4 linked regions of the Neodiprion lecontei genome follow. The protein of the gene in region 1 interacts with the protein of each later gene in a pairwise test. Links are inferred from orthologs where the notes say so. Each region holds a gene or a part of one and is shown in the gene's direction. Other genes may lie near its edges. The genes, in order: huntingtin, intraflagellar transport protein 20 homolog, palmitoyltransferase Hip14 and ubiquitin-associated domain-containing protein 1.

Region 1 (7,859 bases):
CCGAACACAATGTGCTATTTCGGTTTGGCTTCCAGTCCTTCCTCTTCATTTCTTTTAACAACTGCTGAAGGCGCAACACATCTTTCACGGGAAATCTACATATCGAATTATAATTTAATCCCTGAGTCAATAATACCCGAGTTTTCAATTTCAATTATAATAAGATCGGTTCATAATTCAAATATTGTGAATTTTTACTGACACGATTCGTACGTTATAATACTCGTTAAATATAATTAGTAAATACTTCGTATGCTGACATAACCTCTGCAAGTTATCATTTGCAGAACGCTTCAGCGTTGTATACTCACTTGTGAAATGATCGCCCACAATATTTTGATTGCTTTGTTTTGCAAAAAACGCAGGTACTCATTGTTACCTCAATAATTGTTACTGTAATTTTCCAACACAATCGATTATATACACATACATATATCACGTATATATTTATATATATCTGAAGTGACAAGAATCTGTACAAAATGGCTACCGTTCAATTGGCGTGACGGCACCACGCTTAAATCCAATCCAGTGTATATATATATCAGTGGGTTGGACCGGTTCGACTCCCTCTACTTGTGAGATGATCGCGTCCTAATAGTAGAAGTTAGTGGGATTCTAGTTTCATTTTTAGCCGCAACCTTGGCAACATCTAAGGTTCCGACCATGGTCTTAGATCGTGTTCGTAAATTGACTGACAGTACTGAAAATTCCCTACGACAGAGTCAAAGCTATTCATGAACTTGGAAGCGCAAAAGAGATGAAAAATTGCTGACAGTACTGTCAGTCAATTTTCGAACACGGCCTTATAGACACGTCTGGGTACTCCAGGGTACTCCGGCTGTAACTCCGTGCTCGAAAATGAAACCGATGTTGTGAATTTTCGCCGCTAGCGCTAGTGAGGAAGAGGCCTACTTAGGGCGTGTTCGGAATTCGACTGACCGTACTGTCAGTACTGAAAATCTACAGTAGACGTCACTTGGACTATACCATTTTCAGTACTGACAGTACTTTCTGTCAATTTCCGAACACACCCTACATAGAGATCAGTGTACTATACACAGTAGAGATCAGTGGTGTTTACGGTTCCGGAGGCTCCGTACGCGACAGGTCAAACCTGTTTCCGTCTCTCTCACACAGCCTGCATCTCTCTATTGCAGCGACACTCGTGGTCACTAGGCGAAACGATCGGTGCTTCAATAAGAGGACACCCCCACCACTGAAATTTTGACTGAATTGCCAGACCCACGGTCTTACATACAGGTCTTGCGACTCAATAGAATTCCAATGGTAGAGAGTGGCTCCTCTATTGAAGAAAAATCCAGATGGAGCTGCGATCGAGGGATGCATCAACATAACCTACAATGTTTGAGTAAGCCTTTGACGATTGACGTGCGTGTTCCGTATTGTGTTTCGTTCACAACACGGTCAAGACCGTGTCCTTGTCGCACCGGGCATCCCTCGATCGCAGCGACGCTAGCGGCTTGACACGTTAAGAGGCCCACGTCGAAACTCAGAGTCGCAAGACCTGTATGTAAGACCGTGATACAAATTATCCAGCATGAACTATAGAATCCTTTCCGAAAGTAGATCTGTAATGTGGAACAATACAGAGCGCCACCTAGAGAGTATATCAGGGACACGACACTAAACCACTGTAGATAAATCAATTCACCGGATGATTCTGTTGGGCAAAACAATTGAATATCAATCCAATAGGTAAAATGATGAATACATCATTTTAATAATTAAACCATTTAGTCCAATAGCATCCATACCAATTTTGGAAATGAAACGTAACAATGTACAAAACATCAACCTTTACAAAGTCAGTAAGATTTCCAAGGAAGTGTCTAATAACGCCTCGAGGGCACGCGCGGCATCCAAGTTTATACCTATGTTCATTGCTGGGTAGAACGGCAACAAATAGATTGCCAAGTTCGTTCTCTTGATATCAATACATTCATGACTTTCATGCATCAATTATGGCCATAGTTATGGAGACTAGAGATAAGGAGTCCGAACGGAATGCTAGCCAAATGGTCGGTGAAACTGATGAACGATCCGCGGATTGTAACCGCCTGGTAGCGCTACCACTGCGGGCTTCGGCAGCGCGGTGATTTTGAATCGTCGATCCTCACGTATGTATTCTGGGTATGTTCCGATATACACTGCGAGCACTGTTCAGTGCTCTTACTGGGGAGAAATTCGTTCCGTTATAGACTGACAGTATACAGTCGCAGTATCCTAGGGAAATATATGACGTCATAAATCGTCGCCATTTTTCTACTGTGAACACTGGTGCTTTCGAGGTAAGGTGCTCTCAGTGCTTTGATGACGTGATCAACAGCGTTCAGAAATTTAACAGCTTCCACTATTGATAATTATTATTATTGAATATTGTCATTTAAAAATATCGGCCGTTAAAAACAAAAATGGAAAATTTGAATAAATTGTGTTTATTGCAATGTGAAACAAATATTATGTATGAAATGAAAGTAACGCCAAAAAATGTCGATCACAGTATACTGTACTGCGTTCCGTTTTAAGCAGTAACCAGTATAGCTAACTATACAGGAACGGCTTCGCAGTATACTAAATTGACGACACACCTTACAGTGCTCGCAGTGTATATCGGAACATACCCTTTATTCGTAACCAGGCGCTGGTATCTCTTGCGGATACATCCCGAACTACAAGCTCTTTCATCGCTTTCACGAACCACTTTTCGACGATTCCGCCATATGCGTTCGGATTCCTTTACTCTAGTCTCCATGGCCAGTTTTATGCCTATGTGTATGATTGTGGCACCTGTCACATTAATGTCGGCTGTTGTTATGTTTAGCATTTTAAGGTAGATCACAAGTATATGAATTATTTCCAATATGTTAGTGATTAACAGCGGATGTGCTTGACGAATGATAAATATCTACGTATAATAACGCATAAAATATCCATTGACAACCATGGCTACGATTAACGGAATACTCAAAGCGGTGGATACATTGAAAAATTTGCAACTTCAAGATACTTCCCACGATTGTGCCGCCAGGTATTTTCATTATATGACTTTAAAAAATAAGCACTATTCAGCGTTTTCAAGCGCACTTCATGCACGTAAAATGCATACCTACTGTACACCCGTCCGTATATACGTCTTTTATGTAAACTTCTATATTGATTTTCGCGTCACAGATATGCTTACATGCGATTAGAAGTATTGGAGTTTGAATTGAGATTTCATCTTCCAACGAGGTTATGTCAACCAAAATGACAAATGTCCTTATTGTTTACAGAAAAAAAGAAAAAATCGCGTACTGCACTACTGTGGCAGACGGCATATGCTCTTCTGCCGCTAGACTCACTCCAAAATTTTCTCAAGTTCTTAACGTCGCTATAGAGACGCTGCTAATGCTTTGTGATGACTCGGAATCAGATGTCAGAATGGTTGCCGACGAATGCTTGAACAGGATAATACGAGGGGTATGCTGAAAATTTTAGTATACATTCGATGTAAACATATTCAGGGGATACATCATTAAGTTGTACCATCTTTCAACTTTGAAGCATCTTTAAAATACTTGTCATACTTTAGGCAAAATGTACAGACCCCAAACCATATTTTGCTTCCCATATTTGCCTTTAAATATTTTTAGGCTCTATGGGATACATGCATTTCAGACTTTGACAATTAGTTGAATGATTCTGTCACCCTCTAACATCAACATAGTGTCCAGCTCATTCGGAATAACTGGTAAAAGTTGAGAGAACAGTTAGGGGTAGTCAGTTGATTTTGGCATAACGTTGTCTAAATGATAAAGAAAGTAATTATGCAGGCTGATCCCTATACAGAGTTTTGAAATTAACTGTAATGACAATGATTTCAATTGTTAGCATTAAACATAAATATTAGATGAATAAAGTAAAAGGTTCTGAAATTCAATGATTGTTTACATTTCATTGTAAATGTGAATTTTATAATGACTCACGTCATTCCATTTATTACATTTTATAATAAAAATTCAGGTTCATAAAATCTCCATCAGTTGTTGATTATGATAGAAGAAGTGGAATAGTCCTTTGATCAAGTTAGTCAGGATTATTATATTTTACTGGAATCTTGCAGTAGAATTTAAAAAACGATTAAATTTAATTTTGCATTGTACGGTATACATAAGGTTTTAAAATTCTAAGAGGAAGTTAAGGAATTTGAAGAATAAGTTATTGCAAAATGAATAATGCTGTTATCGAAGATTTTGCATATTATCCAGTTGCATTGTGCAGTATTTTTACAAACTTTCTTGCCCAATGGTGAAAACGACTGAAAATTAATGATAAAAACTACAAGAAATTACTGAATTTGCTAGGCACCGAGGCTAAGTATATAACGAATTAATTCTGCTTCTATTTGATAATAGTTCTTCTTATTGTCAGGCTATGACAGATGGCAACATAGTGAAGGTACAAATCGTGTTATATTGCGAAATAAAAAAGAACGGTACTGCCCGAACATTAAGAACTGCACTATGGAGGTTCGCGCAGCTGGGGCACATGATCCGGCCGCTGAAAGGAAAGGCTTACGTGGCAAATCTGATACCTTGCATTGTAGCTATTGCTCAGCGTTCCGAAGAATCTGTTATCGAGACACTAGCCAATTCTTTACCATTGATTTTGAAAACTCTGGGGAATTTTACAACAGATAGCAATGTGAAGGTAAATAAATTGAAACAAAATACGAAATTTGTTCATCTGGATACTACGCCATATTTAAATGAGTGTGTTCTTTACTCACATTTAGCCTTAGCAAATTTTAGAAAAAAAAATCTAGACTCTCGTCACAGAATAAAATAATCAATAAACGCGATTGCTGTGCAATTAATAATCGGCGATTCATCTCCCATTCATATAACACACAATCTATATGGTGCTGTAGCTCATGTGTTTGAACCCGTATTAAACACAATGGCGAGCCTCTTTTCACATCAATATTTTGAATTGTCACCCAATTTCAGAGTATGCTTATCTTCCAGTAGATTAGACATCGCTTTATTTGCGAAATTGGCTTCGGTATATGCTATGAGGCCGACAGGATGTTAAATTGTCCCGTTGAACATTTGGTTTTCATGATAATTATAATTTTCAGACTCTACTCAATGCATTCTGTCAAAACATACCTTCAACACAGGCTGTATTCCGCAGAACAGCAGCTAATATGATTCTTACGACTTGCTTGAACTCTCGAAATCCTCAGGCTTTCTTATTGCACGTTTTACAGTATATGATAGGTGAGGAAGATTTTTTAATCACCTAATTTGCGTGTGACACTTTCGCTTCTAGATCAAACTGTAGCATTCTATGCTACATAGTCTATGAACCTTTGAGGCCATGAGTTTAAAATTTGGAATGCTAATGTAACAAATACACAGAGAGACAATTTAACAACCACAATCATTCCTTCAGCCTTTGGTTGTTGAAACAACTAAACTTTTTACCTTTGATACGCTGTTACATTAGCGCTACAAATTTGAACCTTGTATTTTCATCTGTGTTGTATCAAAATAAGGATATTATTAATTGTTAGGAAGTTTACCCTCTCAGAATCCTAAACGGAACTTACTTATCTCTTGATTAGATACTCTTGTGCCAATAACTGATGACGAAGACCGTGTTACAACGGTAATTGGAGTATTTGGCTGTCTAAGGATAATAATACCTCATATTGATGAAACATCAAATTTGAGCCAACCTGACGTCCCCCTTCATAGCTTTATACAGGTGTATGAGCTATGTCTACACTTTGCCAGGTGGCATTCCGATCACAATGTCGTCAATGCAGCGTTGGAGACCTTGGCTCAATTACTACAATTCCCTTTAAAAGAATTGGTTCCGATCTTGGTTTCCTGTCAAGGGATTACACGGAGCAGGATAGCAATGAATGAAAATACAGCCCGCCTTTCTTTGGGACCGATGAGTGGTTCCAATGTAACAATATCTGGAAGAAATTTGGATTCGACATTAAATCTTTTCGATCCAGATATTCCTGAAATTAAACCAACCGTAGAGAAATGGATTGTTGATTCGGAGAATGTATTACCAGTGATTCAACGACCCCATATCAAACAAGCCGACACCAATCAAGTCATAGGGAAAAAGGAAAAGTCTTTGGAGAATTACAGCAGCCTGATCATCGGATCTCTTGACAGTAAGATTATAACGATTTAATAGACACAACTAAAACAGCGATTGTGCTGGCGATGTAGGAATAAAAATGATGTTCGTAGCATGATAATATAATCTCATACATTTGTGTGTTTCTTATGTAATGCATGTTGAAGTTAGAATATTACTTCAAGGTGAGGGAATCGAGGAAGAGAGCGACACTGGAAGTGATATTGGGAAGGCGGAGCGTTCGCCTGATCTTAGTTTGCCGAGTTTACAATCTAAAGAAGACGAGTACTTGGACGAGGTATCATCGTCCGTAACATCTTTGCATAGAACATCGTCCGGAGTTCTATATCACGAATGTGACATAGGAATGTTCACTGACGCGGACGTACCACTAAAATATTGTTGTCGATACTTGGTGTCGTCGTTTCTGCTGACTGGAATTCCTGGTCAATTGATACCTGACAAAATGTTTCGAGTTAGCGTTAAATCACTTGCTCTAACTTGCATTGGTCATATTTTACGACTTTATCCAAACTTACTTTTATCAACAATTGATAAAACGCCGAATAGCAATGCAGAACAACAATACATCAGCGATATATTACTTTTTGCTAATCATATGGATCCTCAAATAAGAGGGAATGTTGCCATGGTAATTGGATATTTTCTGAAAGCTGTTTTCCTTCAATCTGGTGATAAATACAGAAATATGGAAATATTTCTAAGGTCGACCGTACCTGATAGAATGAAGGATAATATCTTATCGTTAGAAAATCTTACAGCGCTACTATTAGAGGTGAGCAGTTTTTTCCATTTTATATATTCTAAAATTACATCTAAAGTGCTTGAATATGTACCCAATGCTAAAGACAAGAAAAGAAAACTATAATAAAGTGTGTGTTATTTATAGGGATTGAAGGACGAATCGGCTACAACATGCAGACAAACACTTTTAGCATTAAATCTATGTTTGACTGAACTGATAGAGTCAGCAAATAATAAGTATGCTTTACCAATTCTCAAAGCTCTGCCACTACTTGTTAAAAATCCATATTTTCTTGTTAAAATCAAGCTAGTCGAGGTTCTTAGCAATTTGCCATACACAACCGTCGAGTACATAACAGGTGGTCCGCATTTTCAAAAAAATGTTATCTCGGTAATGGTTGAGTTATTGGGGGACCAAGATCAAAGGGTACGTCACGCTACAGCTACTGCTATTGTTCAGTAAGTAAGAAAATTTTAAGGTGGATACTTTCTTTCAATGATAAAAAGGGTTTTTATGGATCGATTTCTATTGTTCTGCAAATGTCTCAAGAGCTTCAGCAGTATATTGAAATTTTCTGAAAAAGTAGAATAGTCTGACCACTATTTTTTTTCAGGATTGTTCCCTTGCTGTACTATCAACATCCGCACGAAAACACAGTGACAAGGAAGGCGTCTAAATTAACTGAAAGATATTTATCCGATATGATATCGAACCCATTAGAAAATTCATCTTTCCAAACAGGAAACAACTCATCGTTCAACAGTCTGCCAAAACCTTTCGATTCGTTATGTCAACAGGATGGAGATGAATATGACGAAAGAATAGAATCCGTACTATCGAGAATAATTAGTTTGCTTACGCAAAAACTGGTCGTAGGTTCGTCAAAGTACTTGAACTACGGGTGTTGTGAGACGCTTAGTTTACT
Region 2 (8,087 bases), on another chromosome or scaffold:
TAATTAAGTGATAAATAATGTTATTACCCATGAGTTTAGACTCTCATTTTTTAATTATACAATTTGAACTATCTATGGCTTGCGACCGATAGTAAAGAATATTTTCAAATTACTACCAAATAGTTCGGGGAAAAAAATTTAATCTTCAGAATGAGTTCATCTGTTTCCTCTTTTGTTTCAATTTCATGCTCCATTCCCTTCGGCACAATCAGGACCGTTTAATTAGTTTCAGATTAAACTTGGTACGTACTTATGAAAAGAGCTAGGTTTCCTGTCAATCGAGACTTGAGATGTATCTGCTAACTAAATAACAATATATCATCCCCCATACTTTGTAACGGATTTAAACCTTTCGAATACAGTAGAAAGGAAAAAAAAAAAAGAAAAAATATCAGCTGTTTGCGAGATTGGCCCAAAGGAAGTTTAACGCTTATGGTCCCTTTTTAACAGCCAGCACAAGCTCAGAAAAATGGTTTTGAAATGAAATGATCAGTTAATAAATAAGTACCCATTGCTCCATGTTTCACGGCATGCTCAACAGATACTAATGATTGTGTAAGGAGGGCGCAGTGCTTAAAAGATTTGTACAATCATTGGAATGTTGTAAATCAATGTAATAAAGTACATTAAAAAAATAAATAATGAATTTTAAATCTGATTTCGCTATTCAAAATAGTAATTAAAATACGTTAAACGTCAACGAATTACGTTCTATATTTTCAAAGCCTGGGCTGGCTAGCGCCATTAATTTTCTACAGACACACATTCTTACTCCCTCTCTCTATCTCTGTTTCACTCTCACTCTCGCACTCCCTTTCAATATACAAACATATTTCATTGGCAGTAAATACTCCGAATCATGCGTCAAACAGTCTAACAATATATGCAAGTACAAATTGAAAAAAGGAGAAAACTTCACGAAATCTAGACAACTATTGCGACACTTATGTGGCAGCCTTGTTCAATCCTCGTTAACAGATATTTAGTTTAATACAAACTGGTCGATGCACTTTAGACTGGAACCCTAATGTGGTCAACAGATGTTACAGAGTATAAAATTACGATAAAAATTAACGCGATTCGGAAGTATGGTGTAGATAATCGCAAGTTACTATTAACGCTTGTACAAACAACAAGACTGTTCTTTCATGAACAGTTGTTTTTTTTTTTTTTTTCGTTTTCGTAGGTTATTTGTTGGCTCGTGTTTTGAATGAACGAACTACATTGAGAATAGCTGGTTGGGGTGACATCAGGTGATTCGGATGGGGTCAGTTAGTGTTTTGCTTATTTGATCGCAGTCGGGCAAGTCCCGATCGTTCTCCTTCTTCCTCGTCTGAAGTGCAAGGAGGCCCTCCTCCCACAGCACCACGTGAAGATGTTGCCTGCATTAATTCCTGATCAGGTACGTTTCGATGCTCGTAAAGTAAGATATTTAACGTCTCTTCGTAGATACGCGCTTCCGGGAACTCAACCTAAGTCAAAATGGGACAACATTGGCTAAGACAAAGTTTGTAGAAGACGTGAAATTCCATAAAAATTGGTATTTACTGGTGTTGTGATTCCACAAACAATTAATCTCTATTTGTTCTTCAGCTTCTGGCAACGGCAATAGAAAAAAATGTTCGTTCAAGTTAGAAATTTAAATTCTGCCTAAAGTTATCTTTACCTTTGTATGTTTTTTATCTGTCGCGTAGACGATAGAATGACAACAAACTTCGGCAACCTTACGACCATGTCCATAAAAAGTCCAGCAACAAATTTCACTCGACCCAATTACGTCCTTAATGAACAAAACCCTGCCGCTAAATCTGAGCGACATCTTGTCAAACAGTTCTATATTTTTCAAAAGATTGTCATCTGATGTACTGTAAATAGAAACGAATGGGTCATATGATTGCTTTCCAAAAAAAATTTTAAAAAGCGAAAAAAGCCAAGCTGTTTAAATCTGTCTCCTACCTCGTGTAAGAGTACTTGTTGTTGTGACGATTAATCAGCAATTTAACAACAGGTTTTGTTGTGTTGCTGATAAGGAGTTGCTGCTCACGTTGGGAGGTGATAAGTGGAACCCTGCAGATGGGTTCAGCCTCCCGCTCCTTCCGCTGGAGCGCTTGTTCGCACGACTCAGCCAGCTCGCCGATGCAATAATACTTTGCCTCGGCCAGCAGCTCTGCCATCTCCTTCACACTCTCAGGTAGCGGAACTGAACCGTCCCGCAAAAAGTTTAAGATCGTGCCAAAGTGCTTGCCACACCGATCGATTAGGATCCAGCCTGTGAAAACGAATAATAGTAAATAAAAAGAAAGTAGGGAACTTGGGTGATTTTAAAATTTGTACACCATTTCATTTGGAATTGCCTTTTGGAAAGAGGCATGAGCGGCTCCTCACCTTCGCAATCTGTAAGAACCTCCATCCGACCGCTAAACATAGCTCGCAACATAGTGTCATGTTTGGTGAGCGTGCCAATGGTGGTGTAATGAAGGGAACCGCCAATGTTTAATTTGACGTACTGCGACGGGTTTCCTTTCATGACAGTTTTGTGATCCCCCGACATAACGATTTCGCCGCCAGGTATTAACGCGGCCGCGGATGATGACGATGATGGTGATATGTTAATTGTATCGAGCGTCAGACTCAACATTTAAGACATGAGCAACAGAATCGTTGCTTGTTAATAGACCGGAAATTTTATTAAAACCTGCGTAACTAAGGTTATTTACAAATACAAGTTGGATTCGCTGATCAACAATAACAGCGAATTTAATACGATGTGATTTTAGGTTATAATCACTGTAAACCAAATCGAGTCATTTCGACCTCGTGATGGTTTCCTATGTCTTATCTAATTATACGAATTGTATTAAATTCTTATCCGCGGCACAATTCATTCGATATTCTCATGGTCACTAAACAAAAATTCCTTTTAATAAACCAAAAAAAAAAAAAACACTATTTATATGTTTTGCCCCATGTTGGAGACGTGAATATGATACGCGTATGAGAATGTATGCGAGCATTATGCATGAGTGTAACTCGCTTGTGTTAACAGGCTTGGGTAACGATATCCTAACGAAGAGAGTCAGCCTTATGATGATACGTGTTTCAACAAAATTTAACAGCGAGCTACACCGGCTAATATGCATTTTACAATGCCGACATCGTCAACTGACATACCGACAAAGCGTGTTGTCTTTTTCTAGCTGGCGCATTCAAAAGGGAGGGAAAATTTAACGTTATCGATAAAACGCCGGCTGACGTTTTTCTTAACCGACCAGCACCCGAAAATTATAGCCCGTTATGAATGCCGGAAAACCAAGTTTTGAGCAGGTTTTATAAACTTTCACTGCTTTTCGCTATACATGTTGTCTACTTCACCATTCCTTTACACGCGCAATAGCTTAATTGTCGTAGATAATTGTAATGAAGGAAGATTATCGGTCGGCTAAGAAAATGCATAGTACCGCCTTAACTCGCCCGGCACCTGCGCGTAAAGCAATTGCAATATACACATGCATACGTCATGAATCACATCTGTTTGACGAAAATGGCCGACTCGCTGGGAAAATATGGGTTATTCATCGATGATTTGAGCAAGATACGGGTACTGGAGCCAGAAATATCGAATCAAACAAATAAATTGAAAGAGGAGTGTCAGAATTTTGTTTCCAGTAAGTGACAAGCAGATATAAAAGCACAAAAGGGATCAATCAGCGTGACAGCGATTGACAGCGGTTCCAATGGCACATGCACACAATTAAAATCGTCCATAATAAAAACATCAATACAGAAAAATATACTTGTTATTAAAATCTTATTCGATTCACTTACCTCTATTAAAATTTATTTCACAACCCTCGAGACGTTTATTAAAATACAATTCCCATCAACGCGCTCGTTATCAACGAATATCCTTGCTTGTTATAACTTTGTAAATCGCGCAGACTGCCATCTTTATTATTTTACGCAGACTAAAAAGTTGATGTGTGCGTATATGTTTAGCCTTATACACACTTCGAAGTTCGATTAGAGCTGGTGTAAAAATAAACTGAATCAAGTAGAATGCATTATAGAAATTGTACATTATGAATTACGACGGATTTAACGGTTGTCCTTTTTTCCGAAGAAAATGGATTGATTTATCGTAGGAACCGTTTCGATAGCCCCGTATAGCAACGAGCGAGAAAGCGAATGGAGTACAGCATAAAGTACGAGTGCAATTATTGTTCTAATCCTGGGTAAAATTTTTAGAAATAACAGAGTTCCAAAAGAGTTCCGACGACTTCATTCAGATCGTCGACAATTTGGCGAATGAAGTCGAAAAAGAAAAGATGCGGACTATAGGGGCGCGTAACTTGTTGCGCTCAGTCGCTAAACAGAGAGATGCACAGAGACAGCAAATTCAGGTGTACATCATGAATTACAATTAAAGTTTTCAATCATTACCATTAATTTTATCGTATGCAACGAACGACAACAATGTACTAAACACGCGGTGCGTGTGTTTTGTTCTATTTCTAGGCTCTTATAATTGAAAAGTCAACGGAACTGGAGCGGCTACGGGTGCAGTACGATTCATTGAAAAAAATCGAACTGGAACAACTAGAAACTATAGAGCAATTGACCGCGAATTGATGTTAAAATTTTTTATCGGCATTATTCATATTTATCTTCTATTTCCTTTATGCATATTCTTTATTCCGTGTGACTTTTTCAATGAGGATTGTAGCATACAATTATAAACACTGTTATCAGCTGGTGTATACAATATTATGATGGTGTAATTAATGAAAAATACAAGAGGGTGGTATTTGGGCTGAGCATATAGATAAATTACAGTAATTACACAACGAAGAGAAACGGAATTAAGATCCAAAACAATGAATAATAATAGATAGAATAATTGACGAGTTTTTTTTTTTTCTCCCAAAATTACATAAATCATGTGTGATGTAATTATTTTTAAAGGAAAAACTCATAGCGAGATGTGTATGCCGTGCGTGTGTATACATATACATTGCTGTATATATACATACGTACGGACTACATAAAATTATAACATAATAATTAAACACGGAAATAAACGGGCTTTGGGTTACTGGCTCTATTTAACCTATCTGCATACTGCACCACATATAATTTGAAAAGGCACACGTTCAAGGATCGCCTTCCCTCTCTTAACTGTTCAATATTACTCGTTATTGAGCATTTCTTCATTATTACATACACGGTCAAATTTAATACTTCAATCCGTATTTAATTTTTGACATTCAAGATTAACAACAGGCGATTCTCTTTTATCTATTTTTTTTTCATTTGTTTGTAGTTTACAGTAGATGCCATGAACCGCAATTTATTCGATGATCGAGTGGATTGTTAAACATCGTTCATATTTCGCTTCAAAGCGAAGAACAGAAAAAAAATTGTATTTTACGTCAACAACTTAGACCTATTAAGATTGGATTATTATCATCATCATCATCAACGTTTGTAGATAAAAAAAATGTACATAACGTATATTTTTTCATTCTCTTATAACAATAAAGTTATTTTAAAAGAGAAAAATAATCATAAAGATTTACTGCAAACAGTATTCATTCATTACTACCAGCACTGAACTTAATTCATGTAGACACGTAGTCAAGGGCAATTATATTAATGATAAGAATGATAATTATAATAAGAATAATAATAATGAGAAATAGATTAAACTAGATAACATTATAGTCACGCAACCATCCATACAACCATATAGTAACCAGGAATTCAAAAATAAACTTTATTTAGTAAAAATAAGAAATGGTGTCGTATTGAATTACAAATATTATTATTAATCCTACATCCTAGATTTATAAATATGTACAGTTACATACCTATTACACCTGTAACCTAGAAGAACTCTCAGTTGAGTACACATCATAAGAGTAGATTGGAGCAGATAGGAGAATCTAATTCCATTTCCTCTCGTTAAGTTTGCCACATCTTTTTCACACAACGGTTTGCGATAATCAAATGTTCCATGCACGCATCATATATATTAATATGCCGCGACACTGAAGCTATAACATATTATGTTGTTTTCTGATCCTCAGATACCCATTAAACTCGAAAGGCAACAGATTTATTTAACAATGTCTCATTAAAAAAAAATTTAAAACAAACTCTATAAGCGTCAGCCCCCAATCTGCTCCAATCAATCAGTCTGCCACCATTGTTCAACACTAACGATTATTGCAATCCTCCAGACGTGACGGTTTTACACTATTACTATTATTATTCATCATTCATCCGTTCGTTCTGTGTATGTTCAATCATAAAATAACTATTATACTGAGAATTTCGCCAATTTCTCAATTTATTAAGTCCACAGTTTTTGTCGGTTTTTACCTTTATTTTTTTTACCGTTTTTGCAATTCAAGTTTCACACAGCAGGATTTCCAAAACTTTACAACGGCCGTATTATTATCATTGTGTCACTCTCAAGAGGTTGCAGAGATACGTTAGTGAAGCTTAGCATAACTTCCTAGACAGTCTCGGTCTTTTGACGCTTAGATTCTGGCGTCGTTTCTTCACCTGTGGATATGTTACCTTCGTTTGCCAAAGGAATTGGTGATGCCGGTCTTTTCTTATTCTCCGTTGCGATTGATGTCATATCAGATGCCTCGGTCGTAGATGGTATCGGAGCACTTGGCTTCTTAAAACGTACTATTACAGCAGTCATATTGTCACAGCCGGTTCCGTCACCAAGAGTATTCGGTGCAAGACAATGGTCAAAGAGCTACAATGTTCCAAGGATCACATTATACCATACACCGTGAATAAATTCTAGCATGTAAAATATCAACAAGAACGAAATAGCAATACTGACATTTATCTGATTACAAATTATCATGTGTTATTTAGCTATTGCTTTGTGACAGGGTGAGCATGAAATATAAGACTGAGAGTTCTCAGTTGAACCCTTAGCGGCCACATAGGGTAACTAGTTACCCCAGGCTTAGAAGATGTGAAATTAGAGGTCTAAAACCTTTGGAATTGATACAAGTAATGACATCTGCCGGTAGTAGACAAGTGTGATAAAAATCATTAGAAATGTTGAAGAACTCTTCAACAAATATGAAACAATCAGTTAGAAGTCTTAAAACACCCATATGTCTTGTACAACTAGGATTTTCAGCGTGGGGTAATGAGTTACCCCACATGGCCACTAAGGGTTAAAAAAAATTGACGTCATTGTTACAAAATATACGAGTACCGAATTTCAAGTTAACGCAATCTACTTACCTCTTCGCAAATTTGAGAAATAGTCTCATACCCCTGTTTAAATCTGGTACTAACGAACTGCACGACATCTTGGCTAGACATGAAATTCCAAATTCCATCACAGGCAAGTACCATGAATTCGTCTTGTTCAGGATCAATTGTAGCTGTTTTAATGTCTGGTTCAGCAGAGATCATTTGCTCTTGAGGAGGAAGTGCTGCGTTCTGCTTATAGGAGTGGTCTCCTAACGCTCTAGAGAGGTTCAAACCACCGTTAACACGGCCATCTGCAGTAACCTTTCCACCTGCTTTAACGATTCTCTGCATTTCCGGCTGATCCTCAGGCTTGTGATCAAGACTCAGCTCAACAGCTTGCCCGTTACGACAAAGAACGCATCGGGAATCTCCCGCATTCGCAACATACAACTCCCGTCCTGCTAGTACAGCCACTACTGCGGTACATCCGCTATCTGAGCCAGGCTATAAGGTGAAAGAAATCAGCGACAATGAGTCGGTCTGAATACACGAGAACAAATTTACATTCTCAAATTGTGCATATTGAATAAATTCAAAGGCAACGTAGGTAACAAAACAAACGTAAGAATACTTCTAAGACGAGTTGTGAAAATATCAAGACTTATTTGTAAGAAAACATTCAGGTTATTACTTCTTCTGTCATATCCATGGTACATTCATCGTCGTCATCATCAGGGTCCATGTCATCTTCATCGCTGTCATCATCATCATCATTGTCATCGTCGTCATCAACATTGTCAACATCCTCTGTATCATCATCTTCGTCATCACTAAGGGTAGAGAAAATATGCAATACA
Region 3 (7,958 bases), on another chromosome or scaffold:
GGGTAAGAGTCATACGAATCAATTCTGAGACGAAAAATTTTTGGGTGAAAAAAAAAGGAAGGTTAACCCCTTTGTATTTTTTGCGAAAATTTTCGCGATTTTGAAAAGAGCTGAAATCAGGTCTTTCTGGCAATATTCCGACGTAATTTTGCGAGAGAAATCGATTGGGCGCAGTCCCAATACGCTGCGATCAACGCATCAAAAGTTACAGCCAAAAAACGAAAACCTGAATTTTCGACATTTTTCAGCAGGTCCTCTTTCCTTCGTAACTTCTCTCCTGTTGATCCCACGCTCTTTCTGCTGCGTTTTCTGGGTTCCTTGGGATCCAATTGATCGGGAAAGAGTCATACGAATCAATTCTGAGACGAAAAATTTTTTGGTGAAAAAAAAAGGAAGGTTAACCCCTATGTATTTTTGGCGAAAATTTTCGCGATTTTAAAAAGTGCTGGAATCAGGTCTTTCTGGCACTATTCCGACGTAATTTCGCGAGAGAAATCGATTGGGCGCAGTCCCAATACGCTGCGATCAACGCATCAAAAGTTACAGCCAAAAAACGAAAACCTGAATTTTCGACATTTTTCAGCAGGTGCTTTTTCCTTCGTAACTTCTCTCCTGTTGATCCCACGCGCTTTTTGCTGGGTTTTCTGGGTTCCTTGGGGTTCAATTGATCGGGAAAGAGTCATACGAATCAATTCTGAGACGAAAAATTTTTTGGTGAAAAAAAAAGGAAGGTTGACCCCTTTGTATTTTTGGCGAAAATTTTCGCGATTTTAAAAAGTGCTGGAATCAGGTCTTTCTGGCACTATTCCGACGTAATTTCGCGAGAGAAATCGATTGGGCGCAGTCCCAATACGCTGCGATCAACGCATCAAAAGTTACAGCCAAAAAACGAAAACCAGAATTTTCGACATTTTTCAGCAGGTGCTTTTTCCTTCGTAACTTCTCTCCTGTTGATCCCACGCTCTTTCTGCTGCGTTTTCTGGGTTCCTTGGGGTCCAATTGATCGGGAAAGCGTCATACGAATCAATTCTGAGACGAAAAATTTTTTGGTGAAAAAAAAAGGAAGGTTAACCCCTTTGTATTTTTGGCGAAAATTTTCGCGATTTTAAAAAGTGCTGGAATCAGGTCTTTCTGGCACTATTCCGACGTAATTTCGCGAGAGAAATCGATTGGGCGCAGTCCCAATACGCTGCGATCAACGCATCAAAAGTTACAGCCAAAAAACGAAAACCCGAATTTCCGACATTTTTCAGCAGGTGCTTTTTCCTTCGTAACTTCTCTCCTGTTGATCCCACGCTTTTTTTGCTGCGTTTTGTGAGTTCCTGGTGGTCCAATTGATCGGGAAAGAGTCATACGAATCAATTCTGAGACGAAAAATTTTTTGGTGAAAAAAAAAGGAAGGTTAACCCCTTTGTATTTTTGGCGAAAATTTTCGCGATTTTAAAAAGTGCTGGAATCAGGTCTTTCTGGCACTATTCCGACGTAATTTTGCGAGAGAAATCGATTGGGCGCAGTCCCAATACGCTGCGATCAACGCATCAAAAGTTACAGCCAAAAAACGAAAACCCGAATTTTCGACATTTTTCAGCAGGTGCTTTTTCCTTCGTAACTTCTCTCCTGTTGATCCCACGCTCTTTTTGCTGCGTTTTCTGGGTTCCTCAGGGTCCAATTGATCGGGAAAGAGTCATACGAATCAATTCTGAGACGAAAAATTTTTTGGTGAAAAAAAAAGGAAGGTTAACCCCTTTGTATTTTTGGCGAAAATTTTCGCGATTTTGAAGAGTGCTGGAATCAGGTCTTTCTGGCACTATTCCGACGTAATTTCGCAAGAGAAATCGATTGGGCGCAGTCCCAATACGCTGCGATCAACGCATCAAAAGTTACAGCCAAAAAATGAAAACCTGAATTTTCGACATTTTTCAGCAGGTGCTTTTTCCTTCGTAACTTCTCTCCTGTTGATCCCACGCTCTTTTTGCTGCGTTTTGTGAGTTCCTGGTGGTCCAATTGATCGGGAAAGAGTCATACGAATCAATTCTGAAACGAAAAATTTTTTGGTGAAAAAAAAAGGAAGGTTAACCCCTTTGAATTTTTGGCGAAAATTTTCGCGATTTTCAAAAGTGCTGGAATCAGGTCTTTCTGGCACTATTCCGACGTAATTTCGCGAGAGAAATCGATTGGGCGCAGTCCCAATACGCTGCGATCAACGCATCAAAAGTTTCAGCCAAAAAACGAAAACCTGAATTTTCGACATTTTTCAGCAGGTGCTTTTTCCTTCGTAACTTCTCTCCTGTTGATCCCACGCTCTTTTTGCTGCGTTTTCTGGGTTTCTTGGGGTCCAATTGATCGGGAAAGAGTCATACGAATCAATTCTGAGACGAAAAATTTTTTGGTGAAAAAAAAAGGAAGGTTAACCCCTTTGTATTTTTGGCGAAAATTTTCGCGATTTTGAAAAGTGCTGGAATCCGGTCTTCCTGGCACTATTCCGACGTAATTTCGCGAGAGAAATCGATTGGGCGTAGTCCTAATACGTTGCGATCAACGGAATAAGAGTAACAGCCGAAAAACCGAAGACTTACTGCCTACTTTTTCCGCTGCTCGTCCTACGGACCTTTTGCTGCGTTTCCTGAGTTTTTGGGGTTTTAATTGGTCTAGAGAGCTGCGTCGCTATCGATCTCAAGCTGAAAATCTTTCCGCCCCAAAATGGAAGACAAAAATCAGGCCTCTGCAGTTTTTTGGTCTCTTTTTTGACGATTTTGCAAAATGCCAGAACAAATCTGTTGAGGCCCTATATGGACGTCATCCTTCGAAGGCATTCGATTGCGCATAGTCTATCGGGTTTTTCCAACGTCTGCGAGTTAGACAGAAAGGATATTCGTTTCAATGTTCGCCGTATTCACTAAAATTACTTCCACGAGGCTAACGGAGAAAACGTTATTTTTCTCCGACGGAAATTTTTAAGCGTCGGTACGTCAGTCGTCTATCGGTTACGATATGTCGGCTACCACGTTGACCGTTGACGTTAACTGATGAGATACTCTAAGTAACCGCGCGATGCAATATATTTTCAGCTCCCAGAACCATCGTTAACCATCCCATAGCTCATTATACTTTTTGAGAGCAGAGATGGATTCCCATAAGAATTCCGAAGTGTCCCGAACGGGCGTTGAAAACCAGAGATCCACAGAGAGTGTCTGGCGAAGACATATATTTTCTGTCAATCTAGTGAGACTGCCTCGAGTTCAAGCCGGAGGGCAATATATATCAACGCTGGGTATCTCCAACAGTGGGAGGACTACTTTCAGTTGCATCTGATATAAAGTAGACCGGCCGCGGTGCGTAAGTTTCATACTCGGTTTTCTACGTCATTTAATAACATGATAAATTTAAGAGTCCAATGCACGTGACGGTTTCGATTATCATTATCACCAAAGTAAAATTAGTCAGCACCCTGTTGTAATGTTGTATTAACGATTACTCAATAAGCGTTATCTCGCGACCGCTCCGAAAGTCCGAGTAGTGAATCTTCTGCAAACAGCAAACCCGGGCTTTGGTCGACGAGAAAATCGGCCGAGTATCAATCCTGTCATCGGGACGCGAAGTTGGCGTGCCACATACCGGCGCCCCACCCTTCGGCAATCAAGTGTTGTCGTGAACTTGGTTTTGTATCTAACATTGCAAATCGGGATTACTGACTATGGACGATCTTCGACGGGGATCTCTTGACTCGTAAAGTGAGAACTCTCTAACTCGAATCCATCCACTGTATTGATTGTATGTCAGAAAAATCAATTCGTTACCGTCATTTTAACACCGCCGAGTGAGCCACATAACCTGTGATTTGTCTTATACAGTGGTGCTTTTGTAGATATTTCAATTCAAGAATGTGCAGTGATTGTGACTTGAGGTTTCGTTCAACTACGTAACTAATCACGTGTATTTCGTTCTGAGTATTATACAAAAAATTCAGCATGTATGCCCTACAAATGCAAACTGCCTGTCAGGGCGAAGGCAGTGGTGAACCGGAAGATCCAAGTAGTATACAACAGGAGCCAACGCGTCCTGCTACTCAGGATTGTAGCGCGTACGACATTGTCAGAGCTACACAGGTAAACAGTCACTTGTATAACTGACGTATAAAAATGTGCATTGTTAGTCAATCATTAGAGAGATTATCAAAATTCAGTCAGATGTTCTGTTTATTTCGATAGCCAAGAATATAATATATACTTATATACTTGATAAAATATTAAACCACTTGAGAATGTTTATCAATATATCTGACTATTATAATAACATTCAACACAGTATGGCGCTTTGGAGCGAGTTACTGAATTAGTTGAAGCTGGGGCAAATGTGAATCAACCAGATTCGGAGACTGTTACTCTCTTGCATTGGGCATCGATCAACAATCGGAAGGAAATTGTCAAATATCTTATTGCCAAAGGCGCTATCGTCGATGCAATCGGTGGAGAATTAGCCTCGACTCCGCTTCATTGGGCCACAAGGTTGGTTTTTGATCAACAACATTCTGAAAAGTAGAAAGTAATCTCATTCATTTAATAGTTTTCACTCAATACTATATCAAAATTTTTAGGCAAGGGCACCTACCAACGGTCGTATTATTGCTAAGAGCAGGTGCTGATCCTTCTTTGAGAGACTCGGAAGGATTTTCATGCATTCATTTGGCAGCTCAGTTCGGTCATACAGCTATTGTTGCATATCTAGTCGCAAAAGGAGTTAATCCAAATATGCCTGATAGAAGCGCCATGACTCCGTTAATGTGGAGTGCATATAAAGTGAATAGGTATGTAAATCTGAAGATTGTAGATTTCTTATTGATAATAAAATGTACATTTACAAGGTACACGCTCAAAATGCTTTACAACATCCTGTATATAACGACAGGATGATCATTCAATAATTATATCTTACAGTCTAGATCCAACCCGATTGTTATTAACCCTGGGTGCATCAAATTCACTCACAGACAACCTCCATGGTAATACAGCCTTGCATTGGGCCATTATAGCAAAGAACAACACTGCCATATCAACGTTAGTTCACAGTGGGGCATCGTTAGATGTTCCCAACTTTCAAAATGAAACACCTCAAAGCTTGTTGAGTCCACATATAGGAGCAGTGTGGCTGGGTCATAAGATAAGTCAAGAAATTAAGGAGAAACAAGGACGCACAAGAGCATGGTGCAGAGACAAGGTATAACAATTTGATAATCCATTCGCACCACGTGGAAAAGTACGGCCAATGAAACAGTCAAAGATATTTTATTTGTACAAGCCACTTTATGGTAACATAGAACATAAACAAGCTTTAATCAATAGTTGGGTGGTTATTGGTATACGTAGCACAGTGAATAATTGTTGGAATAAGCATCGTGAGCTATAACTATATGTGATATATCGTAGTAATATTATACTCTCAATTAGACTAAATTTGTTTCCCTCTTTCAATTACAGTGAATTATTGTCATGTGAATGATTTTATTTGTAGAAGGAGAGGAACACAGGGAAAATTGATGAACTCTAAGTGATCGATATCGATTGTATTGTAATATGCTCTTGTTGAATGACACCTACATTGCATGAAACTCGATTACAATTTTGAACCATTCTTTTTATACCAGTCTAATAATCCTTGAAGTATCATTGATAAAAACCGTTGCCTAGTAATTCTCGATGTATTATGACAACTTGATGACAGTTATGAAATTTTTTCCTCAGTGCTTAGTAAATTACAATAATAATTGTAAATTAATAATTTATATGGAACGAGGTACATTAGTTTCATATTATTAAAAACCTTATAATGCCTAAAATTATTATTTTATCATGATTTTCAGAGAGTGAGATGGTATTGTATGGTCAGCACTCCGTTCTTCGTGTTTTACATCATCGGATTAGTCCTCCAAAGTGGATTTGATTATTTAGCAAAATTAGGTGCCTTCCTCACCATCTACATAGCCGTCTACTTGGCGAATCACTTTCTGTTTGACGAGCGTCTTTTTCACATTTTGCCCATGTCAATATACCTGGCTACAAAGGTGAATATTTATATAGTAATCAAAAAGTCATCAAATATATAAATTAGAATACAAGTCTTTGACCAGTCAACTATTTAAAGAATGTAAGTTCAGAGATATTTCTAACAAATTACAGATGTGGATATATATAACATGGATATTTTGGCTGGGAGTACATGCAGCCTGGTATCTGTGGTTCATGTTAGTTGTTGGATCCGTACCTTTGTGGACATGCTTTTTAAAATCATGGAGGGGAAATCCAGGAGTGATTACAGCAACGCATGAAGACAAATTAAATGTATGTACTGAATATGTTTGATGTTTGCACGGGCGAAATTCACTTGAAAACTTATACTCAACATATGAATAGCTAGTTCATTTTATCAGGCTAGAAGAATTTTTTCAAACGAACTTCCATGTCATTAATATAAAACGTACTTTTTTTCTACAAGCCTAAGTTGTAAGTTATACATATTTCAGACAATTATTGCGTTGGCAGAATCTGGTGGTTTTGAACCGCAATGGTTTTGCAGTAGTTGCTTGGTTAGAAGACCGATGCGCTCAAAGCATTGTTCTTCTTGTGATCGCTGTGTTGCTCGATTCGACCACCACTGTCCTTGGGTGAATAACTGCATTGGTACGTGTACGATGAAGTTTACCAAAGTTTCAAAATTCTTCATATTACACGTTGTTTCCATTAAAAAATTTCATCCTTAGGAGCAAACAATCATAAATATTTCCTTGGATTCTTGGCATCTCTACTAGCCTTGTGTATTGTGGTTTTGTCAGCAAGCGTACAATACTGGCAGTTTGAGTGTTGGAGTAATCTCACAAATGGCCATAGTCCAGATAATTACTTGGTATCAGCAGCTACTTGCGACGCGTGGGTAGCTTGGGTATCTGCAAATACAGCACTTCATTCTTTTTGGGTAGGAACGTTGTTGGCTTGTCAGTGCTACCAGGTAAATAATTCCATTTCTTAAGGTTTTTTCCATTAATTTTTTGAACCATACTTGTATTGTGTACTTGGATTTCGTAATGGAAATGTTGAATGAGTTAATTTTTATCCTTAGATCATGGTCCTGGGTATGACGACCAATGAACGTATGAACGCAGGTCGTTACAAACACTTCAAGCAAGGTAATCCCTTTCACAGAGGGGCAATACAGAACGCTGCTGATTTTTGTGGGTTAAGCTTCTGTGGTGTTAAAGCAAAGCCGAGCTCAGACTGGTTGCACAGCTTTGATCTCAAGCAGAGCATAGAAAAATTACCTTTGCTTGCGGCAAAAGACAATTATCAATATGTATAAGGATATTGGATAGCTAATACGGTATATCTCGTGTGAAGATTATTGGCATTGTTATTACGTTATCACTATTGGAGTTATCAGATTTTGATACGCCGTTTCACTTGTTTTTATAGTTAATCTGTAGTACCAAAGAGAGTTACTATGTTGAAATAATAATGATTAAGTGACTTGATAAGATTGGATGGTAAGCAAGGAGCAAATTGTGTATCTAAACACATTCCTAGAACTTGAATTAAAACAAAGAGAGTTTTCAAATTCCATTTAAAATCGCTAATGTAGACTGGGACGAAAAAAAAGTACTACAGTTTTTTCTTGATGATCAATTGATCTCTATACTTGCTGTGTAACAAATTCTTTCAGTTAATAGCCTTTGCAATTAGCGTTTACTTACTAGTGTCGTGTTTGAATTTTGACTCTAAATAAGCCGCGATACAAGTTGAATATGATAAAACGAGTCTCAGCTCGGCACTAGATGCAGCTACATTTCTCCTTATATCTATATGACTAATAATTGTATTGAATCTTCTTACAAGTTGTATCACAACTACTGTTGTTGCCGGTTTAATTTTTATATTATTTTGTAACATTTGTTGGTGATTCCAAACCAGTTC
Region 4 (9,036 bases), on another chromosome or scaffold:
CTCGATCCCCCGCAACCTCCCTTAAACACTTCCGACCACCTCCAACCACCTCGGGTCATACCTCGAATACTAATAAATAATTTCAGTATTACAACACGTGGAAAATATTATCTGAGGATCAATATATTTTTTTCATATACAGGTTTGACTAAGAAGATTATGAGAAAATTATAAGAAATTATAGGAATTTCTCTAGCGCATTGATAGCTACGAAATGTGGGCTTCCGCGAAAAATGGATTGAAATAATTTACTGTAAACATGACAAGTTTGAAAAATTTCAAGATGAAATATAATTACAATTGCCATTAAATATCATAAAAATGTTATGCTCACCGTGCACAAATAGTAACATAGCTTTTTCTTATTGGTTGACACGAAAATAGTTGATTATAATTATTAATTTTGTACTATTATAGCATACAAATGGTTAAAAGCTGAAAGCAATCAATAATTATATAGCTAAATTTCGAGTAACACCGAAAAAAGGTCAATAATGAAATCAGATAATGGAGAAAAACTATCTTTCATGTCGGTTCAAAGAGGAAACCGGATTCTTCAAATGCTGCCATATGAAAAATCGGTAAAAGTACATATATTTTTTTTTTTAATCAATCAAATACGATAAGTTCCAAGCGAAACGTTGATTGTCGGTTATTTTTTTTATAGGGAGATAACTAACGAAGCTTTTTAAAATTTCGAGTGTAGTTCAACTCACATTTGGACAGTACAAGAAAAATTTATTTACCATCAATTGTCGCAAAATGGCGAAGTCATTAGTTGGTCATCGAAGCACCTCGTCGCTGGAATCTCGAATTGGCCGGAAAGATGGAGTGCGTAATTTTTGTCTGAAACGTAAAAACTAAAATTACTTCGAATTGACATATATTTTCATCATCGATGAACTAAGAAACTCATAAAATACGTTAAATCACATTCATATTCGTTCAGAAGAAAAAAATCGTTAAGTTTTACCTTTGAGCTCGACAATTAACACGAGATCACTGCCTTTTGGGTTATTTTGGTACACCGATAATAGAATGGTGCGCGAATTAAAAATAACAAGTTTTAAAACACTCGCTCGCTAAAGCTCGCTCGTGGTCGGATGCCTAGTGTAACTGATTTTTCTGCTCGTGCGCTCGCTTACTCGTTGTCAGTGTTTTAACACATAACACAGTTGTAGGGGAGACTGGGATACGATGACTCCCCAAAAAATTCTGGTATTGGCTTCACAGTATACAGAATGAACACCGTCTTCGCGCATGTGACGTAAACCGAATCTGCTCGTAAGATTTTTTCTATATAATACTACAAATCACGTTTACAGATGCATGTAAGTACAACGTATTGTGATTTTATGATAATAAATTTCCACAAAAAATACCACAGAACAACCAGCTAAGTGCTAACAGATCTGATACACTAACCACAGCAATTTTAGCTCTAATTGAACGACGTTATTTTCATCTATTCCTATGTACCTATATAATGCCAAACACTCACCAATTGCAATTTGTTGGTCCTGGTCGCTCGGTTTTTTCCGATTCAAAGTGTTATCTGAAACATGCATTTTGGTTTGATGGTACAAAACATGACGTTTTCAATAATCAAACTTGTAAACTTGAAAATTAGTCCGGAAGGTCAAAAGTCACCAGGTCAAGAACCTGGACAGTCAGAACTACGTAGCGCTTGTCCTGGAAGTCGAGTTTCAACAGGTACTGGACCTGGAGCGCAGAAACTACGGAGCACTTGTCCTGAAAGTCGAGTTTCACCAGGTAGCGGACCTGGAGCATGGAAACTACCGCGCGCTTCTCCTGGAACTCGAGTAGCACCAGGCAGCGGACCTGGAGCACAGAAACTACCGAGCGCTACTCCTGGAACTCGAGTTGCGCCACGAAACGGACCCGGAGCGCAGAATCCAGGAGGTAAAGAACCCGGTACTCGAAATCTGCGGAGCGCGATTCTCGTACGTCCTCTCTACCGCGCGGTTGTTTCCAGACTGAGGAATTCGGCTAGCTGATCACTATAGATTGAAGACGTCAAGAGAAAAAAAATTTTGACTTTCTGAACATCCGAACATCCAAACTTTGGTTTCGAACTTCAATACTATGTATGATGTATGATGTATGACGTATGATGATAAGATATGATGTATAATGATTTTAGTTCTTACATTTCGGACAAGAAATACGCACTTTATCTTCCTTGCCGATTCCAGACTCAATCGGCTAGGCCCATCGATGGTCAGCTGTTGACTAAAGATATATTCTTTAGTCAACGGGTCAGCTAATAACGCTGCCGTTCTGCGACAGTTGTATGATAAAAACTTTTGCTCGTACCTTTCAAATGTGTTTTAAAATACACTCGAAGTATTAAGAAGCTTCGTTCTATCTCTCTCTATCAAAGAAAAAAAAATCGCCGACAATCACCTTTTTAGGTCTTTAAAGCAGGACACTGCGTTAAATACTGTCTCATATACGGAGCATCCATGTCATCTCGATCAAAATTAGCGCATCCGTGATGTATTACAGTTACTCTGAATTTTTTTCCCATACGAACACTTTTCGAAAAACGAGTCTGCTTCTCTACCAAACGTAGATACTTCAATTGCGACTAGCTAAAACAGCGTTTCGATTCTATGCCTACGAAAATTCAAGATCGAGAGAGCAAATGAAAAGTTGTTGGAATAATTATGAATATTAATGGCGGTTTTTGGCGCGATTTTACAAGGCCACAAGGACCCAAGCTGGATTATGACAATCTGAGTTGGCAACACTGTTTAAACTGCGTGCAAATGGCCGCCGTTGCGGGCAAACGTCAAAATAATACGAACGGAAATATTCAAGGTAAAATAACGACTACCAGAATTTTAAGGTCAAGGTATTTTTATTGCCATCGGAAGTAAAAAATTTAGCGTAATCGTGTTGCACTCGCGCTGTATCCGGAATATGTCAACTTCGCGTACTTGAGCACTCTAATCTGGCTTAACCTAAATCTTTCATATTGAGAAATGAATAGTCAGTTATGGATTAACGATTAACTCTGACTTGACGACGATGTAAAATAACACTCATAAATCACCTAATACTAGAACTACCCTGTGATCAAAGACACGTGTATTCGAACGCTGCTTTAAACTCCCGAAAAATTGGACAACATACGTATTAGTTTTTTTATTGTCCAGGGCTACTTGATGTTTCCATGGATGCGTGGACAAATACTGGAAGCCTGGAGTAGCAGACGGAGCTCTCGAGAAGCCGGGAGGCGCTCCTCGGCTCTCTCTTCTGCGGACCCAGGAAATCCCTCTAGAAATTCAGGTGTTACAATGTTTGTGTCACCACAGTCAATCCCTGAGAGTTTCTCAGTTAACATTATCAGGTTTGCATTTCATTACCTATAAAAAAAACCATTCGACCATGCACTCTCGTACTATGAAGTTATGAAAAAGTGTACTCTACTTCCTTTCGGTTTAAAAACAATATTCTGAAAATCAGTGAAAAGCCACCATGTGCGTACAAGTTGCCACTATTTCTATTATCGCTTTATATTACATTTGAAAGAGAATAATATTTAACAAATACTACATGAGAAAATAGATAGAATGTAATAAAAACAAATGTGAATTTAAATTTTCTTAACCCTCTGCCGTACTTTGACGAATCTGACTCGTGATACATATTTCGTATCAAACATGAAGATCACGAGTCAGACACGTAGACTGAAGATTAGGCTCATATTGCAGCTGTTTTCAGCATCACTCTAGCCTATTTAGCGCGCATCGTCTCATATTGCTTGGGCTCAGATCTTGCCGAACTAAATGGTACGGCGAGGGGTTAATATCCATTTTCTCAATTGCCCTGGCGATTTTGAATAGGATTTTCACAGTTATATAGAATTAAGTATCAGAAAATATTGTATATAATAATATCATTACTCAGGTTAAAGATATTAAACATTTAACTAGTTACTACATTATTGTGTAGAGAAGTTTTGGTGGTTGTATTATAAAGTTCACCAATTTTAAATGTCGAGCAGAATAACCGCTATGTTTAATGTACCCAAATTTGAGAGATTACTTAGGTACATTCGTCATGTTCAAGAATGAAGGAACAGATCGTAATCACCACAATAATATTTTCAGTTTGGAGGGCCATGTGTTTGGCATCAACATCAAGCCAGACTTTACTATAGAAAAAATTAAAGCAGTCGCAACTAAACACTTTTATGGACAAGACACATCAAAGCCTTCATCATGCTTTAGATTAGTTCATGCAACAAAACTAAAATCGTTATCTGATGAAAAAAAAGCAGAGGAAGAGGGCATTGAAAAGTTTGGTGAGTATCGCAAAATTTGGAAGTAAATTGAATAGGATATTGCTAAAGACGTAAAAAAAACGTGTGCAACAGAAGTGATACTTCTGCAATTTATATAAGTGATTCACCATGGCTTCAACAACTCGGTAACAGAGAGAGGAGACTGAGGATAGGTAATCCTGTGTGTAGTTTGCGTTTCATAACAGTGCTTTATATAGTGGTACGTGTCAAAACATTACGTTTCATAGCAGCACATTTCATTGCAGTGCGTTTCAAAACATCGCGTTTTACAACATTCTGTTATTATCCCTGCTAAAGAAGTTTCACTTCAATAGCAAAATCGAATTTTGGAAAATGATTGAGGCTGGTTCAATGTCAGTTTCCTTCGATGATTTCTGGTGATTTTTTGTTTCAGATGAGTTGCTGATGGTTGAGATCCATCCAGTTATAATAAAAGAAAATCTAACAGAAGAGATTCTAAAAGGACCCAGTGAGGAGGTGATAGCTCGAATCACGGCAGGACTTCCAATTAAAAACCCATCACGACCTGCGCCCAGTGCCGATTGCCCAGCTGATGTAAATATTTCATAATGATAAAATATGAGTTTTGTAGTATTGTTTTATTCTTAGAAAACTATGTTTTATTAGAAAGATTTTGAAAAGTTTATCGAGGTAAGAAAGTGTGCTAATAATTATTAGGCTAATGATAAGTATTGAGTAAAATACAATGATTAAACGCACAACATGGACAGTTTCAGAATGAAATAAGAAAGATTCTCATCACACTGGTCCAAACTTCTGCAAAGATTTTAAATCATAGTCCTGAAGCAGCTAAAATTTATGAAGTAATTAGGGAAAGATGGGAGACCAGATGCAAACCGCCAAATGATCCCAAGTCTGTTAAATATCTCATGGATATGGGCTTCTCGGAGAAGAAAGTATTGAAAGCTCTACGGCTCAGGAAGTAAGTAACATTAGCATCATTGCATGAATGTGCAAATTTCTTTTCCTTACTTGTTTATTCATCATTGGTAAGGATGAATACTTCTGAAGCACTTGAGTGGCTCATAGAGCATGGAGATGATCCAGATGAAGAAGATTTTGAGCTACCATCGTTAGACGCGAGCCTAGATGTGGATACAGGAGGACCTAGTTCCTCAGGAACTTCGGGCAGAAGGAGAAGTCTCAAGGAAGCATGTGTCGATTTATTCAAAGGAGGTAATGTTGCAGTTTAGCTAACTTGCTCAACTTACGACTGCTTTATGGCATGTACTCTTACCGCATAGGCAAGTTGAATTTAATACGTTCCTCTTTACCGAAAATTCGCTCTGATTAAGTCTCGAGGCGATAATTTATTCAGAATATGAATATTGTCCTCAACTCAATGCTGGGTAATTATTGAACAGGTAGTCAGAGTTCCAAGAGAGAGCCAAACTTGATTAACGTCGTCGCTCTGCTGTTAGAGTCTTTTCGTCAGTTCAAAAAACTCGATTTCAAACCAAACACGAGGGTGATATCCTCACTTCAAGAGATGGGGTTTGAGGAGAAGAAAATCATAGAAGCACTGAAAGTCACTGGAAATAATCAACCAAATGCAGTACGTTGCTAGATTTTCTATTCTACTATATTACTGAGTATTTTAAGATTTTCATCAATTCTTGTTTAACCTAAAACATTCGAGAAAAATTAGTAACAAATATTATTGACACTCAACTTCAATTTCATAACGATTAAAACATAGAAAATGATCATTGGCATAATTGTGATTTTTTTTTTTTGTGTGTCAACACCAAAATGAGTTTTAAATTCACATTAAATGTCAAAGCAAAAGCAGATTTTTTACCATCGATGTCAAATTCTTCAAGAGTTGTTTATATTTTCAGTGCGAATGGCTCTTAGGTGAGAGACGCCCTAGCTTAGAAGATTTGGACGAAGGCCTGGACCCTGACGGGCCAATTTATAAAGCAATTATGTCAAACCCTCACATACAACTCAGTCTCACCAGTCCAAAAATGTTACTAGGTGAGTCAAAAAACAAACGACGTTTTCTATGAGATTATATTCGAGAGTTACTGAATGCCAAATACTTGAGAATAAAATTTACACCTTTCAGCATACTTATCGATGCTAGAGAGTCCAATGTCAGCGAATATCTGGATAAATGACCCAGAAGCTTCACCAGTGTTGAGCCAAATTTTCAAAACCTACCATGCGGAAAAACATGCTATTCACATGAATCGTTTTGTTGAGAGCTAACAGTAGCAGAGTATAGAAACTGTTTCAGAATCACAGAAAAAAAATGAAAAAAAAAAAAGAATTATAATGCCTAGTACAAATTTAAAAAATTTTAAATATAATTCATGATACGTTGAAGATAAGTTACTGTTATTAACTGCCTGGCATGTTAAAGTTCATTCTAGTCAATATTAAAACAAAATATAAATTATCGTTAAAGTATTTATGCTATTCGTTCGTTACTTACTCAGTAGCAAATAGTGATATGTAATAGTAAAAAAGGTACTATCATTGTGAGGAAAGTATATAAAGTGCTTGATATTTATTCCTAACGATATTTAACGAATTTTACATGTAATAATTGCTACTATTACGCATATGAAATGGTATACAAACTATTATGTATACTCGCGTACACCAACAAATATATTTTTATATTAAAATGGGCCTTCAAGATCTAGTTTATATACCTATTTCAATTCAAAATGGCATGCATAATTTTAAACTATTTTTTTCGAGCGAAGTTCAATGTCGAAAGAAAACTTTGTTAAACGCTGAAGCAAATAAACTCTGTCTGAAATCATTAGCATTTACTCAGTTCCCGGAAGTGCATATGCATACCTACTTGTGCCCTATCTTTCAGCTACGACGAATCATTTTACGGAAAATTTGTTATTGGCAATTCTACATACTTCATTGCGAGTCGGTGTACATTCGATTAAACTAGGTGCAAGGAACATGTTGCGAAATATAAATTTGTTAAAAACGTCCATAATACACACCGGAAGTGGACGTTTTGAATTCAACAGTTTTTCTTCACAATTTGAATTGCCATATCGACCATGTTATCAATGTTTCCGAGATTTTTTTTCCACTTTGGTCTCTTCTTTTTTCCCAAAACGCTGTTCCAATTTATTTTACTTCTCATCATTAAACTTTTACTATTGATAATTCCTGGTACAATATCAACATCTTTGGAACCTGTGTCACTTATTATATTGACCACCGAACTTGTATCCACTGTGTCCATCGAATCCAACTGCCACGGTAGTATTCCAATTGGACAACTTCCCCAATCAACACTTTTTTCTACGAAAAATAAATTTGTTTTACAGTTAACTGAACGAAATATGCCATTTTTCCTATAGTTAGATATTCTTCTGGTGGTTGGGTTTAAACTGAAATACTAATTCGTAGTTGATAAAATAACTGTACCTTTTTCAAGTATCCAGTTTGAATTTCTGGTTGTTAGATCTGCTATTTTAATATTATCTTCGAAATTGAACTGTTCCAATCGCTCATCACTTCTGATATTTTCATTGATATGATCTTCAAACAATGCAGTAAAATCATTGATGGTTTTGACATTTTCGTTACCAACTAATTCAGTCTGGTCTTCAATATTTTGCCCTGCTGTATAAATACTGATAAAATGAATAAGATTTTCCCTGACGTCATCCCTTATGCTGGGTGTTATCAGTTCCAAAAGTGGTTCAACGAAATGATTAGAAAATTTGCTATTCAGATTAGAAATGATTGTTCTAACAAAATCTATATCAGTCAAGAAACTGGGAATTTCACCTAAGACATTTAGCCATAAAATATCTCTAAGTTCGGGAAAGTTTCTATCAACTTCGTCTCGAACTTTGAGAGACAATATGGTTGACGAAGTTCTCCTCCTTTTGTTTTCTCCGACATGTTCCAACCTATGTTTGATTTTGTGAGCTAATTTTATTTTGCACAGACTAGACGCTATATATTTCATCCACAAAGATGCAATAAGATGCTTTTGCTCATTCTCTGTCTCATCATTTATCAGTTCCAATAGCCGCAGTATTAGTTTTTGTAAAATTTCCTTCTCATGTAACATTGTTATAAACTCTTGCCAAAAATTGATGAAACGTGATGGAAGACAGTTACAGTTTTCAGTATCTGAACTTGATTTCTTTCTCCTCCCAAATATCTCAAGAAATTCTTCGCTTGGAAGGAATGCTTCCCCTCCAAGTAGAACATTCAATATAATTTCGTCTTTATCTGGTGGAAATTTGTTTTTGCTCAAATATTTAGATATTTGACACAAAAGATTGCTTTGTTCTGCTACCAGTTCGTGTTTCTCATCATCACAGGGATCAGTGTCATTTCGAGTTTCTGTATTGACGTCAATATCGATGTATTCTGTATTTTCGTTGTTTGGCAAGATCAAAGCATATGCTCGTAAATTACTCAACGTTTCTCTAACAATAAAAAGAATAACAAATAGAAGATATTTCACTTTATATCTAATGAAATCTATAGTCACCAATTATTCCTGTAAACTTATTCTCTTACCTTAACTGTGCATCAGGTATGTCTTTTATCGAGGTGTAACCAGCATGGATATATAAACCAACTGCGATCCACAATTCAATTAAATCCGTTAACGTCTGTGCTTCTTCTGGCTCATTCTCTTCTTCCGCTTGTTTAGTAATGTTATCTTCCATAGCTTTCAA

Evidence for each region.
Region 2: the proteins of huntingtin (region 1) and intraflagellar transport protein 20 homolog interact in binary tests that used the Homo sapiens proteins (3 or more experiments, as listed by UniProt). The link is inferred for Neodiprion lecontei from reciprocal best matches to the Homo sapiens genes HTT and IFT20.
Region 3: the proteins of huntingtin (region 1) and palmitoyltransferase Hip14 interact in binary tests that used the Homo sapiens proteins (3 or more experiments, as listed by UniProt). The link is inferred for Neodiprion lecontei from reciprocal best matches to the Homo sapiens genes HTT and ZDHHC17.
Region 4: the proteins of huntingtin (region 1) and ubiquitin-associated domain-containing protein 1 interact in binary tests that used the Homo sapiens proteins (3 or more experiments, as listed by UniProt). The link is inferred for Neodiprion lecontei from reciprocal best matches to the Homo sapiens genes HTT and UBAC1.

What each region holds. Positions count from the first base shown.
Region 1 is NC_060262.1:8,088,353-8,096,211, forward strand, and holds the start of huntingtin, read left to right. Parts: upstream 1-2,758; 5' UTR 2,759-2,966; coding exon 2,967-3,052; intron 3,053-3,296; coding exon 3,297-3,483; intron 3,484-4,418; exon of another isoform or gene 4,419-4,434; coding exon 4,435-4,713; intron 4,714-5,143; coding exon 5,144-5,285; intron 5,286-5,632; coding exon 5,633-6,202; intron 6,203-6,353; coding exon 6,354-6,964; intron 6,965-7,078; coding exon 7,079-7,392; intron 7,393-7,547; coding exon 7,548-7,859.
Region 2 is NC_060264.1:1,961,680-1,969,766, forward strand, and holds intraflagellar transport protein 20 homolog, read left to right. Parts: upstream 1-3,532; 5' UTR 3,533-3,541; coding exon 3,542-3,665; intron 3,666-4,245; coding exon 4,246-4,400; intron 4,401-4,515; coding exon 4,516-4,629; 3' UTR 4,630-6,128; downstream 6,129-8,087. Other genes in the region: BTB/POZ domain-containing adapter for CUL3-mediated RhoA degradation protein 3, read right to left, coding at 1,269-1,472, 1,667-1,865, 1,957-2,269, 2,386-2,638; probable protein phosphatase CG10417, read right to left, coding at 6,518-6,772, 7,279-7,734, 7,922-8,060. UniProt on the Homo sapiens protein: Part of intraflagellar transport (IFT) particles involved in ciliary process assembly. May play a role in the trafficking of ciliary membrane proteins from the Golgi complex to the cilium.
Region 3 is NC_060265.1:1,407,868-1,415,825, reverse strand, and holds the start of palmitoyltransferase Hip14, read left to right. Parts: upstream 1-3,223; 5' UTR 3,224-3,968; coding exon 3,969-4,106; intron 4,107-4,305; coding exon 4,306-4,505; intron 4,506-4,594; coding exon 4,595-4,804; intron 4,805-4,934; coding exon 4,935-5,214; intron 5,215-5,857; coding exon 5,858-6,058; intron 6,059-6,173; coding exon 6,174-6,335; intron 6,336-6,517; coding exon 6,518-6,674; intron 6,675-6,754; coding exon 6,755-6,999; intron 7,000-7,110; coding exon 7,111-7,347; 3' UTR 7,348-7,958. UniProt on the Homo sapiens protein: Palmitoyltransferase that catalyzes the addition of palmitate onto various protein substrates and is involved in a variety of cellular processes.
Region 4 is NC_060261.1:28,608,247-28,617,282, forward strand, and holds ubiquitin-associated domain-containing protein 1, read left to right. Parts: upstream 1-3,191; coding exon 3,192-3,376; intron 3,377-4,139; coding exon 4,140-4,333; intron 4,334-4,727; coding exon 4,728-4,888; intron 4,889-5,064; coding exon 5,065-5,276; intron 5,277-5,326; exon of another isoform or gene 5,327-5,348; coding exon 5,349-5,530; exon of another isoform or gene 5,531-5,718; coding exon 5,719-5,909; exon of another isoform or gene 5,910-6,195; coding exon 6,196-6,334; exon of another isoform or gene 6,335-6,425; coding exon 6,426-6,568; 3' UTR 6,569-6,690; downstream 6,691-9,036. Other genes in the region: uncharacterized protein LOC107225833, read right to left, coding at 7,350-7,636, 7,763-8,781, 8,876-9,036.